2 linked regions of the Lonchura striata genome follow. The protein of the gene in region 2 binds, or shares a complex with, the protein of the main gene of each other region. Links are inferred from orthologs where the notes say so. Each region holds a gene or a part of one and is shown on either strand. Other genes may lie near its edges.

What was found. Proteins that work in one complex are often made in the same cells at the same time.
Region 1: the proteins of PTPN23 (region 2) and ZFYVE16 are in contact, whole or in part, in a crystal structure (PDB 5MK0), measured with the Homo sapiens proteins. The link is inferred for Lonchura striata from reciprocal best matches to the Homo sapiens genes PTPN23 and ZFYVE16. Residues at the interface, in NP_056281.1 of Homo sapiens: Phe62, His125, Glu137, Glu138, Lys141, Val142, Cys144, Thr145, His146, Gln148, Cys149, Leu189, Lys192, Ser193, Asp196, Arg198, Lys199, Phe201, Leu202, Arg205, Ile206, Ala336, Leu338, Leu342, Asp348, Ala350, Val351; in NP_001098721.2 of Homo sapiens: Asp2, Tyr4, Phe5, Ala8, Val9, Leu12, Asp13, Leu15, Leu16, Asp17, Phe19, Glu20, Gln21.

What each region holds. Positions count from the first base shown.
Region 1 is NC_134642.1:86,167,424-86,176,758, forward strand, and holds the start of ZFYVE16 (zinc finger FYVE domain-containing protein 16), read right to left. Parts: upstream 3,893-9,335; 5' UTR 3,780-3,892; exon of another isoform or gene 3,725-3,779; intron 2,659-3,724; exon of another isoform or gene 1,237-2,658; intron 1-1,236. Other genes in the region: CCDC125 (coiled-coil domain-containing protein 125), read right to left, coding at 5,695-5,954, 6,051-6,144, 6,221-6,339, 7,591-7,759, 8,729-8,836.
Region 2 is NC_134603.1:156,656,398-156,666,431, reverse strand, and holds the start of PTPN23 (tyrosine-protein phosphatase non-receptor type 23), read left to right. Parts: upstream 1-5,473; 5' UTR 5,474-5,525; coding exon 5,526-5,609; intron 5,610-6,652; coding exon 6,653-6,727; intron 6,728-7,272; coding exon 7,273-7,400; intron 7,401-7,796; coding exon 7,797-7,873; intron 7,874-7,968; coding exon 7,969-8,018; intron 8,019-8,449; coding exon 8,450-8,581; intron 8,582-8,915; coding exon 8,916-8,996; intron 8,997-9,361; coding exon 9,362-9,493; intron 9,494-9,639; coding exon 9,640-9,687; intron 9,688-9,862; coding exon 9,863-9,919; intron 9,920-10,017; coding exon 10,018-10,034. Other genes in the region: CCM2 (cerebral cavernous malformations 2 protein), read right to left, coding at 2,848-2,877. UniProt on the Homo sapiens protein: Plays a role in sorting of endocytic ubiquitinated cargos into multivesicular bodies (MVBs) via its interaction with the ESCRT-I complex (endosomal sorting complex required for transport I), and possibly also other ESCRT complexes.

The DNA of each region.
Region 1 (9,335 bases), on a different chromosome or scaffold from region 2:
CATGTGTATTTTTCTTAATTTCATTACTCTCCTCAAACTTTTCATAGGTTTTTCATCTTTCTACAATAGACCTACAAGCAAAAAAATCTGAAACCCACAACAAAATCAAAACCCCCAAAACAGGGCAGAGCAGCAGTACCCCCCTGTCCCAACTTTGGTGTCTGCATCACCAAAAAATTGTAAAAGCCTTCTAGTTTCTCATGTTTCAAATCCTCTTTCAGCAAGAGGAACAAGTTTTATTTTCTGCTGCCTGGATTTGCCTGCAGCCTGTCGCAGTGTTTACATTATTGGATTAGAAGCTATGAAAAAGCTCTGGTGACACATTTTTATTAAATGGCTGCTTGCTTCCCTGAGTGGAGGGTCTGGAGGAACCATGTGCTTTAGCGAAATGCATTTGCTCTGAGCATATTCCTTTAAGGCTTATACTTGTAACGGAAGAATTACACTGCATTCTAACTATCAGAAACCAGGAGCACCACCTCTGTATACGTTTTTTAGCCAGGCACAGTTGTGTTTTCTGAATTTGTCTTTTAGAGCTCTGAATACAGTCACTAGACACACTCTAAACTGGCTCACAGATTAGTATTCTTTAAAAATAAACATATGCTTATAACTTTATCTGAGGCAATAAGTCCCTAATAGTGCAAGGAGACATAAAATTTTAGGCTCTCACCACTCCATTTCATAGTTCAAAAAAACTTTAAAATTATATTTAAATCACTGTTTATTAAAGACCATATGCTTTCAGATAAAGATAGATTAAATATTTACGTAGGAGGAGACTTGAAGGTAAAATAGCAGTCTGCTTCAAAATGGGAAAATAATCATCTAAGCACAAAAGGTACTACAAAAAAGTGCACACTGGACATGTCACTTCTCCAGATAAACCTCGAAACAGGCTCATCTTAGATCTCCAACAAATGGTCTGACACACTCCCAGCACAGCACCACACAGACCTAAGAGACAGAGGCAATAGTTCCACCTCATTAAAACTGTTAACTATTAACTGTGGAATGCAAATCCTGAGATCTCGATGACTGCAAGCGTGACAGGGTGCTCAAAAATGTGTCACAGACCTCAACACTTCCTTAAAATCCTTCATAAATCACTTATCCCTTCTAACCGAACAGGCACACACATTCTAGAGTCCAAAACCAACATGCACTGGGGATTTCTCTGCACACTCTTAGTTCAAGGAGGAGATAACACGAGGCTGCTGGGGGTGGCCAACTTACAGGATGGATTGCAGGGCTTTTTCCCAGATACACTCTGTAAAAGGAGGCACTTCACAGCTCTCAGTGGTGGTAACTTGCAAAACAGAATGGATAGGTTAATTATTACCAACCAACCCATTGCAGGTCTGAAGACAAGCTACCTTTTGATGTCTGAGAACACCTGAAAACCACTCTCTAGTGTTCACACATATGGGCACCACCACACCCACAGTTTGCTGCAGCTAATCCCCATTGCAGAGGCCAGGCCTGCTTCTACACAAAACATACCAGAAGAGCCCAAGCTGGGCTTTAGAGGCAAAGGAACACACAAGCAGGGGCACAGGGGTCTCCCCTCCAGAGAGGTGACCACAGGATGGCCACCACCTCAGTTCTGACTACCACAGCTGCAGTCCCTTGGCTCGCTGGCTATGTCCAGCTCCACCACAGTGTTTAATTATTATGCTTAGCCTGAGCAGAAAGCTGAGCTAAGGACTGTGGAAGCATGGAAATGGCATTTTCCACCTTACCACCCCAGCAACCACCGCAGGCAGAACAAAATCTCCAATATAAACATGGGCACTAAGCACCAAGCTCACAGTGAAACACTCATGGACTGCTGTGTGCCCCCTCTCCCTCACTGGTGTTGCACATGGGTGTTGCCATGATGATTTTTGTCTTTTCTTTTTATATACCTTTTATGAGGTCTCAGTATCCTTAATATAACTGTAATTCCTTAAGCCTAATACCTTAACATAATCCTGGTATTCTATTAAGCCAAAAGACCAAACTTCTAAAAGCCTCACAGTCAGAAGCCAGAAAACCTAACATTATCTTGAGAAACCCCTCCAAAACACTTGTTACGCCCATCTAAGAAAAAATACATTAAAATAATCACACTATTTATTTAAACCTCTCATTGAAATGTCTTTGTTAAATATACTAGTTTACAAAACCTATAAAACTGTATACACCATCTACCATATGTATGCATTTTGGTACATGCAAATTTTACAGTTTGCATTTTGGTACAGCCCAATGTGACAAATTGTTACACCATAAAAATCCTAATTAAATACCAAAATAAAAACCTTTTTATCCCTTACCCATGTCTAACAATTCTAAGACCAAGGAAAAAGCATCAAGGGTACTGAAGGAATTCATTACCAGCTTTTTCCTTCTCAGCCCCCTCCCTAACACCCATGAACCCACACACAGGCCTGAAGCCCTAATGACAAAAAGTTTTAGGGAACAGCTGACCACAGAGCCCATCAGCAATCAACCTGATGAAGTTCAGCACAACTGCACAAACAGTGTGTGAAAAATTTAAATAAAAACAAGAATGATTCTTGCTGAGCAGAACAACTTACTGTGTAAACCAAAAGCTGAGGTGGCTGCTGCCACAGCAGGTTTAGGAGCTGAACCATGGGGTGAACCAAAAGCTGTTGAAGTTTTCAGATATATAAGGACAAGCTTACAGGATAGAGCACAACAAGCTGTCTTGTCTGAGGAATGCTATTCTGTGAGTGAAACATGGACTCTTCAGAAGGGCAGAACTCCACCAGCAGCGTGATGACATTACACCCGCACAGCTCCATCCCACATCGCCTTCAGCTTCTGAGGATTTCTGTTCATTCATCCACCCTGCTCCTCTGAGCTGGGAGCAGCACTGCTCACAGCACCCAGAGAATCGCGGACTGCCTCAATTACTGCAGCGCTGGAAGGCTCCTCTGGAGCTGCTCCCCTGGGCAGGGGCTCGGGGACGTGTCCAGCTGGGCTGGGATGTCCCACACAGGGACCCCGCAGCCCTCCCTGGCACTGTCCCAGGGAGCCTGGGAGGGGTGGGACGGACGGACGGGATCCCCCCTCGGCTCCCTGCTCCAGCCCGCCCGGGCCGAGCCCGGCACAGAGATGCTGCAGAGCCCGAATCCTCCCTGTGCCTCCCTGGGCCCCTCCAGCAGATTGTTCTCTTTCTCCTGCTGTGAGCCAGCCTGGAGGCGGCACTGGGAGGCAGAGCGGCCCTGACTCGCAGCAGGCAGGGGCTGTCATGCGGGCACAGAAAGCTCTGCAGAAGGGACCGCGGCAGGCAGGGGAGCGCTGCTCGCTCCGCACCCCATTCCCCGCGGTCTGCGTTATTCACCAGCCCGGCTTCGCCTCTCGCCACCCGGCACCGGCAGCACCGGCGCTGGCGGCCGGCTGGACCCTCTGCCGCACTGCCCACAGGCTGCCAGTGACCGGTTCTGCTCGGATTTAAACACAGACTCAAAGTGCTTTACACTCTCTAAGTGTGCGGTGCACCACTGTCCGCTCTATGTGCCATATATGTATTCTGCACAACCTGCCAAATAACCTCGTCTACTTTACTTTATACACCACATACACTCTCCACATACCCCACACAGCGCTCTCTGTACATATCCCATGCTCGATACGCCGTATATAGAAACAAGCGGAACCGCAGCAAGCAACACCACCACCAACACGCAGAAACCTCCGGGGGCGAACCACCCACCCAGGTGCCCTCAGGCAGAGGTCAGACTCGCACAGCCGCGTCGCCCCGACCTCACCCGGCGGGCTCGGGGCCGTCTCGGGGCCGAATCCCCTCAGGGCCCGCCCCGCTCCCAGTCCCGCTCCCAGTCCCGGCCCCGCCGGCGGCTCCGGGCGGCGGCCTCGGCCCTCGTCTGCGCGCAACGCGCCTGCGCGGCCGCGCCCGCCCCACCCCGCGCCTGCGCGGCCCCGCCCGCGCCTGCGCGCCCCGCCACGGCCCCAAGGAAGGGGCGGGGCCAAACGCCAGACGGACAGCGTGAGGGGGCGTGGTATTGCTACATGGGCGTGGTCGCGTCCGTGATTGACAGTGCATGAGGGCGGATCGCCGACTGGCCTGACCCCCACCGGGGCGGGGCCTGGGGGAAAGGGGCGGGGCCTCTCGTGTAGGTCACGCCCCCCACCTTGTCCCGTAACCCCCGCCAGGGGGCGCCGCTCCCGCCTGGGTCTCGTGGCGTCAGACCCTCCGCGCCGCGGTGACGTCACTGCCGCGCCATCAGCCCTGCTCCCTGCCCGTTCCAGTGACGTCACAACTCCTACCGTGACGTCACACCCTCCACAGTGACATCACTGAAGCGCCATCAGCCCCACCCAGGCCCTGCTCCCTGCCTGTTCTGGTGACATCACACTCCCCACAGTGATGTCACACCCTCCACAGTGATGTCACATCGCCTACAGAGATGTCACACACCCACAGTGATGTCACACCCTCCACAGTGATGTCACATCGCCTACAGAGATGTCACACCCCCACAGTGATGTCACACCCTCCACAGTGATGTCACATCCCCTACAGTGATGTCACACCCCCACAGTGATGTCACACTCCCCACAGTGATGTCACACCCTCCACAGTGATGTCACACCCCCACAGTGATGTCACACCCTCCACAGTGATGTCACACCCCCAACAGTGATGTCACACCCCCACAGTGATGTCACACTCCCCACAGTGATGTCACACCCTCCACAGTGATGTCACATCCCCTACAGTGATGTCACACCCCCACAGTGATGTCACACCCCCTACAGAGATGTCACACACCCACAGTGATATCACACTCCCCACAGTGATGTCACACCCCCAACAGTGATGTCACACCCTCCACAGTGATGTCACTGCAGTGCCACCAGCCCCACCCAGGCCCTGCTCATTCCGGTGACATCACACCCTCCACAGCAAGACGTCACTGGCACCAGCCCTGCCTGTGCAGACCTGTCTGTCCTTGTTCTGGTGACATCACGCCCCTGCAGTGACATCAGACCCCTGCAGTGACATCATACCATTGCAGTGATGTCACCCCATGCAGTGACGTCACCGCCACTCCCTCAGGGACTGCCAGCGCAGCCCACACATGCTCCCAGTGGTGCCGCTGAAACAGCCACTCCCGCCCCTGTGCCCACGCTGCGCCATCATCCCCGCAGTGACACCACCACAGCACACACAGCTCCCGGTGTTTCCAGAACATTCTTTTCCACATGGCCGTGGCACCGTCCCTCAGCCGAGAGCCAGGACCATGGCCTCGGTGGCCTCGCAGCCACTCCTGGTGTTTCCAGAACGTTCTTTTCCACATGGCCGTGGCACCGTCCCTCAGCCGAGAGCCAGGACCATGGCCTCGGCGGCCCTGCGGCCGCTCCCGGTGTTTCCAGAACGTTCTTTTCCACATGGCCGTGGCACCGTCCCTCAGCCGAGAGCCAGGACCATGGCCTCGGCAGTCCCGCGGCTGCTCCCGGTATTTCCAGAACGTTCTTTTCCACATGGCCGTGGTGCCGTCCCTCAGCCGAGTGCGGAGAGCCGGGACCATGGCCTCGGCGGCCCCACAGCCACTCCCGGTGTTTCCAGAACGTTCTGTTCCACATGGCCATGGCGCCGTCCCTCAGCCGAGCGTGGAGGGCGTTTCCAGAACGTTCTTTTCCCCATGGCCGTGGCGCCGTCCCTCAGCCGAGCGCAGAGGGCCAGGACCGTGGCCTCGGCGGCCCCATGGCCACTCCTGGTGTTTCCAGAACATTCTTTTCCACGTGGCCATGGTGCCGTCCCTCAGCCGAGCGCAGAGGGCGTTTCCAGAACATTCTTTTCCACGTGGCCGTGGCGCCGTTCCTCAGCTGAGCGCGGAGGGCCAGGACCGTGGCCTCGGCGGCCCCATGGCCACTCCTGGTATTTCCAGAACATTCTTTTCCACGTGGCCGTGGCGCCGTTCCTCAGCGGAGCGCAGAGGGCCAGGACCGTGGCCTCGGCGGCCCCGCGGCCGCTCCCGCCCGAGCCGGGCGGGCAGGGCTGGGGGTCGCGAGCCAACGCCAGCCTGGCCCGGCCTGGCCGGGCTCCGCCGCCCGCGCCAGCATGTAGCTGACCTTGCGCTGGTGCGCCAGGGCCTCCTCCTTGTCGTTCACCTGCCAGCGGAGAGCAGAGCGCTCAGCGCCAGCGCGCCGCGGCCGCGCCGCGCCGCAGGGAGAGCCGTGCACTGACCAGGTCTATCAGCACCCGCAGCAGCTCCTGGGCGTCGTCCAGCTCCCGCACCCTCCTGCCGTCCCCGGCTGACCGCAGCAGGCCGGACAGCCGCCGGCCCAGGCTGGGCTCGCCGCCCTCTGCGGAAAACACAACCGCGTCAGCACAGCTGCTCCGGGAGGGGAAACCGCTTCAGGATAGAGCAGCACTGCTCAACTGGAGCTGAGCAGTCACAGAGAAAAGGGCAACACCAGACGCAGCTCGGCACGTCTCCCTGCTCCCGCTGCGCAGACCTCGCACGGGGGCAAATTGAGAATTTGCTCCGTGAAAAACACACTTTTCACGCTCTAGGTAAACAATCATTCACGGTAGTTCGTTTTTAAACACTAAGTAGCCTTAAAAACCCAAAGATTCTCTGACACTGGCAACCTACAAGTGTGTAAGATTTCCAGGAATGGTAAAATTCACAGCAGGTTGTTTTTAAACACTAAGTAGCCTTAAAAACCCAAAGATTCTCTGACACTGGCAACCTACAAGTGTGTAAGATTTCCAGGAATGGTAAAATTAATTTGTTTTTAAACACTAAGTAGCTGAAAAAAAACCCCAAAGATTCTCTGACACTGGCCACATAGAAGTCTGTAAGATTTCCAGGAATGGTAAAATACATTAAAATTACGGAACAGATGTGCCAGGTAATGGAGCCTGAAAGCAATGGGGCCAGTACAGGGGAAACAGACACTCAAGGTTGTGCTGTTGTAGAGCTACACCCCAGGAGTGCCCCAGGAATTTGGGAGACACATATCACACTTCTAAGCTCCTGCCAATGGTCAAAACAAATATATTGTGCCATTCCTAAAGCCTGCAGTGGTTCTGACCATGATGTAAGCACTCAAATACCTCTCATTATCCCTCTATTTTTTTTTTTAATAATAGAAGATTGTTAGAATTACTCCTACTTTACAGATTGGAAATCTTCCTCTTTTTACACAGGGCTTTGTAACTCTGCATTAGTGTAAGAACACTAATAAACAGAAATATCAATACACATGCATAATAAAAAGATAAAGGGGTTTAAGAAAAAAAAAACCACAACTGTTTAGTACTCCAGTGAATTATGGAGTGGCCTGGCTTGGAAGAGACCTTGAAGCTCATCTTGCTCCATACCTTCCACCAGACCAGGCTGCTCAAGCCCCACTTGGAGCTAAAAAAACCTCAAGCTATAAATTTTTTTTGCATTTCTTCGCCTTCCCCACCTCTTCTGCAGAACTAATTTGACAAAAAACAAAACCCAAAAGACAGAGCAGTTGCTGGCAGCCCTTAAACCAGCCCGGGCAGCAGCTGAGCCCCCAGCACGTGTCCAGACCAGCCAGCCCCAGGCACTGCCCAGCTACCAGCGCCCTGCCGCCGCCAGCTGCCAGATCTGGTTCCCTTCTTCACGCCGAGCGCCTCTGCCAGCCGCAGGGCCTGCTCCTGCCTCTGCCCCAGCTGCTGCTCAAACGCCGTCCGGAAGGCGTCCGCCACCAGATATGCCTCTTCCCTGCTCTTCTTCACATCCTCCACCTGGGGTTCAGTCAGGGGAAATTTAAAGCGCGTTAGCTGCTTTGGAAGCAAAACAGATTTGAAAGGAATATTAAGACGCAGACAGCTTGCAAGTAAATATAATCAAGGAAGCAGCAGGAACCAAAGGGTTTTCCTGGCATGTAAAGAAATGCATTTTGAAATGTGTATTGAAGTCCTTGCTCTTCATTGTCTGCACATGTTCACACCCCCAGCCACCTACACAATAATCTCTGAGTTTATTTATCTTTGCATATGTACAAGAGCTCAAGGAGAAAAATAATGTCTCCTCCAGCCAGGCCTGGAGAAAAAGGAGCAAGAGATTGCAATCCATATCAGGGATCATAAGGGACAGGCCAGCACCTATTTTCAAAACCGGCTGGTCAGCTGGAAGTTCTGCAGCAGGACCACAAGGATGGCTACCACATTTGCAGAGTCAAATACAGATTAGAAGAGAAATCCTAAATCTGCACAATTTCACTTAATAGAAAAAAAATAGGAGCCTGGAATTCACGTCACTGATTTAAGTGAGAGATAAATAGGTATTTCTAGCAAGATCAGCCTGCTGCCCTAGCTGAGTGAGCGGGCTGTGGGTGCTGATGCCAACGAGGGAGGGGTGGAAGGCACTGCCAGGAAGGAAGGGAAGGTTCAGTGCCAGTCCACGTGCACAGTGTGCACATTCATGGGGGACACACCCTTAGGGCATGTTCTCTTTTTTCATATAAAAAATACGGGGAGAAGGGAAAAGAATGCAATTTTCTTTTTTTTAACTAGTAAAGCTGAGTAGATATAATCACTTTTTTTTTTCTACCAGCAAAAATGATGGCATTACAAGCATCACAAACTTCACAGTATTTCTGAGATCCACTGTGGTTGTGAGAGTTTGTGAGAGCAGTGCCTGGGTGTTTTGGGCTTGGTTTGGACTGGTGCAGGAGCACCCCCTCCTTGTCCCCACCCTGCCAGCCTTGTCACCTGCTGCTTGAGATGAAGGAGTTGCTTCCGAGTGAGAGCTGCCACCTTGGCACAGGGACAGGGCTGCCCCTCAGCAGGGCTGCAGGTGCAGGCTCCGAGCACTGCCAGCTGAAAACCCAAAGCAAACCAGAGGCCAGGGTGAAAAATGCATATTTTATGATAGGCTCTTCGCAAATGTTAATACTATATTTTGTAATACTGTATTAATCATTTTTAAGTAGTGTGTTAAAGATAGTTTGAGGTTATAAAATAATGTTAAAACAGGAACTCTGTGATATAAGATATTTTTTAGTAGCTCAAGAAAAGGGATAAGATAATCAAGAAACTCTTCACAAAGAGATAACAGCAACACAAAACCTGAAGAGTTACAGCCTCCTTATCAGAAAAGACAAACATCCTTCCACCTTCTCTCTGTTATTGTGGAACCACCAGGATTAAGGGGAAGGAGTTGAAAAAAACCAGAAAAGTTCTTAATTTGCAAGGATTTTATGGATCATGTATGAGTCAACAGGCTGTTGCTTTTACGGTTATTCCTTTGCTCACAAGGCCTGGTTTTGGCAGCTCAGTGCCAAAAAACATCCGGATGTCCATATTCTTTGCTTTTTAT
Region 2 (10,034 bases):
CGAGGGCTGGGCTGATTCTGGGCTCCCCTGGCTCTCCTGGGCACCCCAAAGCCTGGGGGGAGGCGCCTCCGGTGTGACGCAGCCCGAAACAGCTCCTGCTTTTGGGGCGCCCCAAATCCCAGCACCCACCTCGTCCTCCATGGAGCCCGGGACAGGGGGAGGGAGCCGTGCTGGGGGGCTGCAGAGCTGGGGGGCACCAGGGGACGGGGCACGCTCCCCTCCTTTCGGGGTGCTGCCGTCGGGGCCAGGAAGTGCCACGGTTTCCTCTGCCCCACGTGACGGGCGGAGCGGGGCAGGGACCCACGGCGGGGCACGAGCCCGTTCCCTGCTCCCACCCTGCACCCCGAAATCCCTGACAGCACCCCAACCCTCCATCCTGTGCCACAGCTGGGGGGGATGCACCCCAAAATCCCCAGCAATGCCCCAACCGGGGGGGAATGGCCCCGTGCCGAGGGAGGCTGAGCCCTGGTTTCTGTTCTGAGCTGCTCTGTTCCGACTCCCAGCTGCATCCCAGCTGCTGCTCCCGGAGCAATTCCCAATCCCAAAGGTCCCACAGCCCCCTGAGTGCGTGGGCTGTGCAGCTTCTTCCTGCCCAGAGCAGCTGGGGCTGCCCTGCATCCCTGGCAGTGCCCAAGGCCGGGCTGGGAGCTCCTGGGGCAGGAGAAGCTCCTCCACCAGCCCCATTCCCAATCTCCCAGCAGATCCATGATTCTCCTGCATCCCTGGCAGTGCCCAAGGCCGGGCTGGGAGCTCCTGGGGAGGGGAAGCTCCTCCACCAGCCCAATTCCCAATCTCCCAGCAGATCCACACTGCTCCTGCATCTTGGACGCTCCAAAATCCACTTCATCCCCCAGAGCAGAGGGGTCCCAGCCCTGCAGCAGCTCCAGGCCCTTGTGCTACTGGATCTGGGGCAGCTCTGCAGGTGGGGTCTCACCTGAGGGGCACAATCCCCATTTCCTGCTGCCCACGCTGGGGATCAGCCCGGACATGGGGCTGGAAATGTGGGATAACAAAGGAATTTCAAGAAGAATTTCCCCCAGGGATGTAACTCCGAGCTCAGCAGCTCCTTGTTTCAGGAGGGAAATGCTGGAGCAGCTGCTGGGAGAGGCAGGTGGCACCAGCCTCAGCTCTCCAGGGCCTCCCCGAGCTGGAAAAGCTGGGAATGTCACACTAAGAGCTGAACCTCAGGGAATTCCCTCAGGGAAACCCTGCAAGCTTGGGATCCCTGGCACGGCTTGTGGAGTCAGAGCAGCAGGGAGATCACTCCCAGAAAATTCTCCTTCCCCCACACTTCCTGGGGATAAGCAGGTGGGAGCACCCATCCATCCATGCTCCCCTGAGGCTCCAGGTGTGACACCAAGCCCTGCCAGATTCCCATGGCCTGCTGGAATTCCATCCTGCCTCCCAGGACTTGTGGGGAATGCTATTCCATCCCAGGACAGCTCCCTTCCCGCTGGGATAACCCCCACTGAGAGCCAGGGCACGCCAGCTCCTGAAGGAATTCCAGGGCTCCAGTTGAAACCAGGTTGGATTTTATCCAAGCTGGACTCGACCCCAAAGCCAGGCTGGGATTTTCCTCCTTATCCCAACCAACCCTGCCCTGATCCCTTTGGATCAGCCCTGAGGGAACTCAGTGCCTCCACTTCAGCTCAGAGTGCTGCTGGAACCATCCAGAGTGGGAGAAGCAGGGAGCAGAGCTCTCCCTGCAGCTGGAACACCTGAGGAAGACAAGGACAGGTCTGTGCTCCACAGGCAGCAGCTCCAAGGGTTGGTTAACCACCAAACTCCAAGGAAGCTCCACGAGGCCTTGGAGCAGCTCAGGAGAGGCCACAGGTGGGTGCCAGCTCAGTTCTGCTCCAGAGGCACCGGGAGCTCCTGCTCCAGCGGGATGGGACAGCCCCGGGACAGGGCCCGAGGAGGCTGCAGGGACCAGAGAAATGGGATTTTCCAGGTGGGATGGAGGGTGAGGAACCAGCCCAGTGTGTCCCTGGGGCAGGGAGGAGGGAGGATCCAGACTCTTCCCAGTGCCAGGAACCACAGCGGGGAGCCCCAGCTGAGCTCTGCCCAAACCCCCTGGAGCTGACTCCTTCCCAAAAGCAGCTCCATCCCGTGTGCAGGTGAGAAATTCCTCCAAATTCCTCCCAGAGTGGCATCACGGGGGTTTAATTCCCAGACCTGCCTGTCCGGGAAGCCTGGAGGGCGATTCCCCACAAAATCCCACTCAGCCTCACTCATTCTGGAACCTGCTGCCCCGGGGCTCCCAAAATCTCCAGTTTTTCCCCAAAAGGACGGGCTCACACCCAGCCTCGGCCTGCAGCTCTGGCTGAGCCTCCCCGAGGCCACAGAATGGAGCTGGGAGGAGGGAAACCAGGCCGGAGGTGCTGAGCCGCGAGCCACAACAACGGCATCAATTAACGCAGGAACGAATTCACTGAATCCGCAGCAGTAATAACGTAAATAAATTAGCAAACCCATAAATTAATCCCTCCGTAATTAATACTCCCATCGATTAATAACAACCTTCTCCAAGCCCTCGGGAACAGCGGGACGCTCTGGGCTGGGGGCTCTGGGTGGCTCCCGGGAAGGGGATGCGGGAACGGTCCCGGGAAGGGGATGCGGGAACGGTCCCGGGAAAGGGATGCGGGAACAGTCCCGGGAAGGGGATGCGGGAACGGTCCCGGGAAGGGGCAGCCAGTGGCTCCCGGGAAGGCGCTCTGGAACAGCCCCGGGAGGGGATCGGGCACCGCCGGGGAGTTCCGGGCTGGGGCCGGGGGCGGACCCGCCTGGGCTGAGCCACCCTCGGGGGGCACAGCGCGGACCCGGCCGCCCCCCGGGCCCCGCTCTCACCTTCTTGCCCTTCTTGCCCTCCTCCTCCATGGCTCCGGCGGCGGCCCGGGGCCCCCCCGGGGCATCCCGGCCCGGCTGAGGGGCGGGGCCTCAACGCGCGGCGGCGGAGGCGGCCATGGCGCGCCCGGTTCCCGCTCCAGCCCCGCCTCCAGATCCCGATCGCGGTCCCGGTTTCCCCTCCCGGTCCCGGCGCCGCCTCAGCGCCCGCGGCTCTGCCCCGCCGCCATCTTGGGCGGCGCCTTCCCGTGACGTCATCGTCCCGCCGCCGGGGGGAGACGAGCGCAGTGCGCCTGCGCAAAGCCGTCGGCGCGCGCAAACCACGCCCACCACTGATTGGTCACGCCTACTAGCCACGCCCATTATGATGTCATCGCATATCACACGCTGCATTAGACCACGCCCCTCGCTGGACCCGCCCACCCGCTCCTCTATGACGTCATCGGGAGGCGCCCGCTCTTTCAGTCATGGCCGCTGCCGCCGCCGGTGAGGGGTATGGCGGTCTGCGCTCATCCGCCGCCATCCGCGGCCGCCACCGCTGCCTCCCGAGCTCCCCGCGCATCGGGCCCCGCCGCGGTGCGTTCCGGGCCGGGCTGTCCCGGGGAACCGAGGCTGACCCGGGAGCAGATTCCCGCCGCAGGCTCCAGCATGGCGGGGCCTGTCGTGGCCCCTGCCATTCCTGCAGTGCTGCCAGAGCATCCCGGGGCCGTTTGAGGCCGCTCCCGGCGCCTCCCGGGGGCGGTTATAGAAACCTCGGACACGGCCGGGCTGGGGAGGAGCTCGGTGGGACACGGGGGGCTGCGGGGTCCCGAAAGCCCCGGCACGGCGGGGCCGGTGACATTGCTGCTGTTCTCCGTTCCAGGCTCCTGCTGCGCGGATCCAGAGGGACTCAGGAAGCCGCCAGGAAGAAAGAAGTGCATTCAAGGGGGCTGGCACCGTAATTAGCCCGGTTTCGGTTAATTAAGGCTACCGAGGCCTCGACCCTCGTCTCCCAGGGGTGAAGTTCCATGGGAATGCCGTGACTGAGACACGGTGGCAGGAGTTGCCTGTCGGCAGCACTGCCCAGGTGAGGGCCAGCCCCGGCTCTGCCCGGGGGGAGGCTGCGGGACTGGGACTCCGTGGGAATGTCGGGGGCCACGTTCCTGGAGCTACCCGGGGCTCTGGCACAGCCCGGGCTCTGCCGTGCCCGGTTCCCCTGGCTCCTGCCGCCGCGGGCTCCAGCATAGCGGGGCCTGCCGTGGCCCCTGCCATTCCTGCAGCGCTGCCAGAGCGTCCCGGGGCCGTTTGAGGCCGCTCCCGGTGTCTCCCGGGGGCGGTTATAAAAACCTCGGACACGGGACCCCAAGCCCACTGGGATTTGGGGACAGGGGCAGCAGGGCCAGGGCCATTCCTCATTCCTGCCTTTCCCATTGCAGGCTCCCTCCGTGGGCATCCAGAGGGCTCCGGGAAGGCTGCAGGAAGGAGAAGGTGGGCACAAGGCTCTTGTCAGTGTAATTAACTCTGTGGTGGTTAATGAGCGCTGGCAACACGAGCTGTGTGCTGCTGTCACTGCCTGGTGTGTGCCAGTGTCACTGCCTGGTGTCACTGCCAGCTGTGTGCCCCTGTCACTGCTAGCTGTGTTGCTTTATCCCACAGGGACCTGTCCAGAGGCGTGGAAGGAGAGGCCAGGCTGGTGTGGCAGATTCCCCTTGGCAGAACAAGGAGGATTCGGCGGCGCCACAATCGAGGAATTAAACCCATTTAATTGACCCATAATTAAACCCATAATTGAACCTGTGGGTTTAACGTGCTTTGGTTCCACAGCTTCTTTATTTCCTGTTTCTGGTCCAAAGGGATGGAAATGGGGATTCGGGGGAGGAAGCTGCTCCAGGTGCTGGAGCAGAGATTCCCCAGGGGAGCAGGAGCCCCCCGTGTCCCCAGGGTCACCTGGGCTGGCTATCCCCTTGTGCCAGGCTCAGATGGCCCCATTTCCCCCAACCCCAGTGTCCCCAGTGCCCAGGGTCCCCAAATCCTGATGTCCCTTGTCCCTGAGCTCACGTCCCGTGTCCAGTGCCCGGTCCCTGGCTGGGTGGCAGCAGAGCCGGGACAGGGACACGCCGGGGGCTCAGCTCTGCTCCTGCTGGGATCCTGAAGCTGCTGAGGAGCTGCTCCTCTACCAGAATCCATCAAAGAGCTCCGCTAATGGCTCAAACAATTAGATGAGCGAATCAATTAACGGAGCAGATAGTTAGACCAGCAGGTTCAAGGGGCACAACGAGGTGTCCCTGGCACCACCGAAGCGTCCTGGAGCCCTGAATGCACTGCGGGACGCTGGCGGGGCGGGGAGGTGTGGAGAAGGCTAATTAACGGGGTGATTAATTAGCGGGGGGAGGCTGGGCGTGGCGGTTGCCGTGACAACCGCGCCGCTTCCGGGGCGGGGCCTGTCCGTGACAACGGCCGTGCCGTCCAATCAGCGACCGAGGCGTCGCCATGGCAACAGCGCTCGTCCCGCCCCGGTGGGCGTGGCCATGCGCTCCCCTTTGTGGGGGCGGGGCGTTGCCATGGGAACGGGGCCGGAAGTGCGGCCGCGCTCGGAGCCCCGCGGACTCGGTGTCCCGTGAGCCCCCGCGCGCGGTTCCGGCGGGCCGGGCCGGGCCGGGAGCGCACCGGGAGCGGGCCGGGCCGCGCCGCGCCGCGCCGGGATGGAGGCCGTGCCCCGCATGCCCATGATCTGGCTCGACCTCAAGGAGGCCGGCGAGTTCGCCTTCAACGCCGCCGTCAAGAAGGTGCGGCCGGGCAAGGCCCGGCGGGGCGGGCGCTGGGGGCTGGGAGGGGTCGGAAGCGGGCCCGGGGCACGGGGAGCGGGGCAGGCGGTGCCCGGGGGTCCCTGCAGCCACCGGCGCCGGAGCTTTGGATGGCGGACCCCCCCGCCCCGAGCCGCCGGGGGCTGGCGCCGTGTCCCTGCCGCCCCCGCGGGGCCTGGTTAATTAGTCACTTCATTAAGGGCTGTAGCAGGCTCCGGGCCCGCACAGTTTGCGGGTGCGGGGCGCTGCGGGGCTCCTGGCGCGCGTGCCGCTCCCCCCGCGGTTTTGCGGGGCGCCCGGGCGGCCCCGGGAGTGTCCCCGGCGTGCCGCACCTGGGCCGGGCACCTTCCCGGTGCCCGTAAGTGCCTTTTCCACCCTCGGCCGTTCCCGAGCCCGTTCCCGACCCAATCCCCGATGCCATTCCCCGATCCCATCCCTGATTCCTTGTGCCCATTCCCCGCTCCCGTTCCCCGATGCCATTTCTGATCCCGTTCCCCGTTCCCGATCCCATTCCCCGCTCCCGTTCCCCGAGCCCATGCCCGGAGCCATTCCCCACTCCCGTTCCCCGAGCCCATGCCCGGAGCCATTCCCCGCTCACATTCTCCACTTCCATCCCCTTCTATCCCATTCCCGGTGCCCGTTCCCCGCTCCCATTCCCGGTGCTCGTTCCCTGATGCCCATTCCCCGGTGCCCATCCCCTCGTATCCCGTTCCCCACTCCCTTTCCCGGTTCCCACTCCCCGCTCCCATTCCCACTCCGCGCTGCCGTTCACCGGTGCCGTTCCCTGCTCCCCTTCCCGGTGCCTGTTCCCCGGTGCCCATTCCCTCCTATCCCCTTCCGCGGTGCCTGTTCCCTGCTCCCGTTCCCGGTTCCCACTCCCCGCTCCCGTTCCCCTTTCCCGGTTCCCACTCCCCGCTCCCACTCCCGGGGTGCCCGTGGGTGCCATTCCGCCCCTCCTGCCCGGTGCCCCGGTGTCCCGCCGCTCCGGGAGCCGGTCCCGGCCGCTCAGCCTCTGCCGCCCCCAGTTCGTGCTGAAGAACTACGGGGAGAACCCGGAGAGCTACAACGAGGAGCTGCGGAAGCTGGAGCTGCTCCGGCAGGTGAGGGACGCTCTGGGCCGGGGCTGCTCCTCTTCCCCGGGCCCGGGGCCGCTCCTCTTCCCCGGGGCTGGGGCCGCTCCTCTCCCCCGGGGCCGCTCCTCTCTCTCCCCGTCCTTGCATCATCCCCGGAGCAGCCCTTGGGTGGTCCCAGAGACCCGGGAGCTGCTGGGGGGGCAGGGACAGCTCCTGCTGCCGGCCACAGGCTCCCCAAACCCGGGGGGCCCAGCCACCCCCAGCCCGGCTCTGGGGTTTCTCCTCTCACCGTGTCCCAGGACACCCAAATCCCGTGGCTGTCCCGGCCCGGGGAGCTGTGCTGGGGGTGCAGAGCCTCATTTTGCTGCCCCGCTGCCCCCATCCATGAGGGAGCTCGTTTTTGGGAGAACTCGGCTGTTCCCGAGGCTTTCCCAGAGCCCTGCCCCATCCCGAGCGTGCGGCTGGCTCCGGCCTCCCCTGCGGGACAGCTGCTGGTCCTGCCTGGAGCAGGCAGTGCCCTGAGCCTCTTCCTCCTCTCCCTCCTCCTCCTCCTCCCCCCGGTCCCTTCCCAGAGCGCCGTCAGCGTTCCCAGGGACTTCGAGGGCTGCAGCACCCTGCGCAAGTACCTGGGGCAGCTGCACTTCCTGCAGAGCCGCATCCCCATGGGCCAGGGCCAGGACGCGGCCGTGCCCGTCACCTGGTGAGGGGGTCGGGTGGGGGAATTGGGGTGGGGGAGTTGGGACATGGGGGGCTGGGATGGGGGGCTGAGCCAGGCAGGATGTGGCCATGCCCACCCCTTGGGGAGAAGCTGCTCAAGGAACCCCCTGGGAATGTGGTCCTGGCCAGGGTGGCACTGGGGGATCCCAGGAGTCCTTTGGGGGATGACAGTGTCCTGCCTGGGGTGGCACAGGGGTGGCCCTGTGCTGTCCTGGGGAACGGGGTCGTGCCTGGGGTGGCACTGGAGGATCCCAGGGACCTTTGGGGAACGGGGTCCTGGGGATGGGGATCTCAGGAACCCCTGGGGAAGGGGGATCCCAGTAACTCCTGCTCTCGGGAGAAGCCCTGCTTGCTCCCTGTGCTGTGCCCCTGCCCCCAGGACTGAGATCTTCTCGGGCAAGGCGGTGACGCACGAGGACATCAAGTACGAGCAGGCCTGTGTCCTCTACAACCTGGGTGAGCCCCCCAAATTCCCGCAGCTCGGGGGCTGCCTGGCCCGGGCCCCCGCTCCCAGGGGTGTCCCTGCCCCGCTGAGCCCCCCGTCCCCACAGGAGCTCTGCACTCCATGCTGGGAGCCATGGACAAGCGCGTGTCCGAGGAGGTAACGCCCGCGGCACCGGGCAGTGCCAGCTGGGAGTGACAGGGCTGGGCTGGGCAGGGCTGGGAGGGGCTGGGCACCAGCAGAACCTGGGATCTCTGGGCTTTGGGGTGTCTGGAGCACCAGGAGGGACCCTGGGGACAGGAGGGGACAGCCAGAGGGTGGGGCTCTGCTCCCGGGTGACAGGACAAGAGGGAAACAGCCTCAAGGGCAGGTTCAGGTGGGATATTGGGAATGTTCCTCTTGGAAAAGGCTCTCCTACCCTGGCCCAGCTGCGAGGGCAGGGCTGGAGTCCCCATGGCTGGAGGGATTTCAAAGCCCTGTGCATGTGACACTTGGGGACACGGTCAGGGATGGCCTTGGCAGTGCTGGGGGCTGGGTGGACTCCATGGTTTGGGAAATCATCTCCAAACCCAACAATTCCATCCCCTCAGGGCATGAAGGTTTCCTGCACCCACTTCCAGTGTGCTGCTGGTGCCTTCACCTACCTGCGGGATCACTTCCCACACTCCTACAGCGTGGACATGAGCCACCAGATCCTCAGCCTCAACATCAACCTCATGCTGGTACGGGCTGGGCACTGCTGCCACTGGCACCCCTCCAGGTCTCCGTGGCCTTGGTGCTCCCCGAGGATCCACGGGCACAGGACCCCGCTGTCCCCCAGGGGTTCTCTGGGGGTCTGGGCTCTCCCCTGGGGTGTGGGGAAGGAGGTTTTGGGAGGCACTGGGGGGTCAGGGAAGGCTCAGTGCCATTCCTGGGCTCTCCAGGCACCCTCAGGGCTGGTATTCCCTGTGCCACATCCATCCCCTGGGAAAGGGGCTGGAGCCAGTGGGTCCTGCCAGGGGTCTGGGCTGTCCCAAGGGCTGGGGACACTGAGCATTGCTCTCTTGTCCCTGGCAGGGCCAGGCACAGGAGTGTCTCCTGGAGAAGTCCATGCTGGACAACAGGAAAAGCTTCCTCGTGGCCAGGATCAGTGCCCAGGTGAGCTCCAGGAGCTGCTCCCAGCACGGCCCTGCTCCCACTGGGATCAGGAGCTGGAGAGGGACTCTGGGCAAGGCCTGGAGCGACAGCACCCAGGGAATGGGAGATGTGGGCGAGTGTTGGGAAGGAATTCTTGCCTGTGAGGTGGGTGAGGCACTGGAATGGATTGGGATGGGCTGCCCCTGGGTCCCTGGCAGTGCCCAAGGCCAGGCTGGACGGGGCTTGGGGCAGCCTGGGCTGGTGACAGTCCCTGGCTGAGGTCCCAAGCACATCCCTGAGCTCCCCCCACCATTGCTCCGGGTGATCCGAGTCCTTGGGCTGGTGCTGCCCAGGGTGCCCAGGCTTCTCCCGTGCCCTCCCCCCAGGTGGTGGATTACTACAAGGAGGCCTGCCGGGCCCTGGAGAACTCGGAGACGGCCTCGCTGCTGGGCAAGATCCAGAAGGACTGGAAGAAACTGGTTCAAATGAAAATCTATTATTTTGCTGCCGTGGCCCACGTGAGTGAGGGGGAGCTGGGGCTGGGGGGCTCTGCCTGTGCTCCCATCCCACCCCGGGATGCTCCTGGCTGCTCCCTGGGGTTTTCCTGCCCCTCTCTCAAAGCTCTCCCTGGAGTTACAGAGCTCTGATCCCAGTTTTCTTCCAGCTGCACATGGGGAAACAGGCCGAGGAGCAGCAGAAGTTTGGGGAAAGGGTAAGTGGGGCCGTGTCATCCCGTTTCATCCTCGGCAGCCCCTGGGTCGGGGTCCTGGGAAGGGGCTTGTGTCCTGGAGAGGCTGGGCATCCACTGCCAGGCCCGTGGGGAGCCCTGGGCCGGGCAGAGCCAGGACGGTGCCCCCCATGCCCAGCCCAGCTCCCGCTCTCCGCAGGTCATCTACTTCCAGAGCGCCCTGGACAAGCTCAACGAGGCCATCAAGCTGGCCAAGGTGGGTTCCTGCCCCGGGCCTGGGGTGGGTGTCAGGAGCCAGCTGCCTCCAGGCCCCTCCGACCCAGTCCGGAACGCTTCCCCCTCTGCATCCCACAGGGCCAGCCTGAAACGGT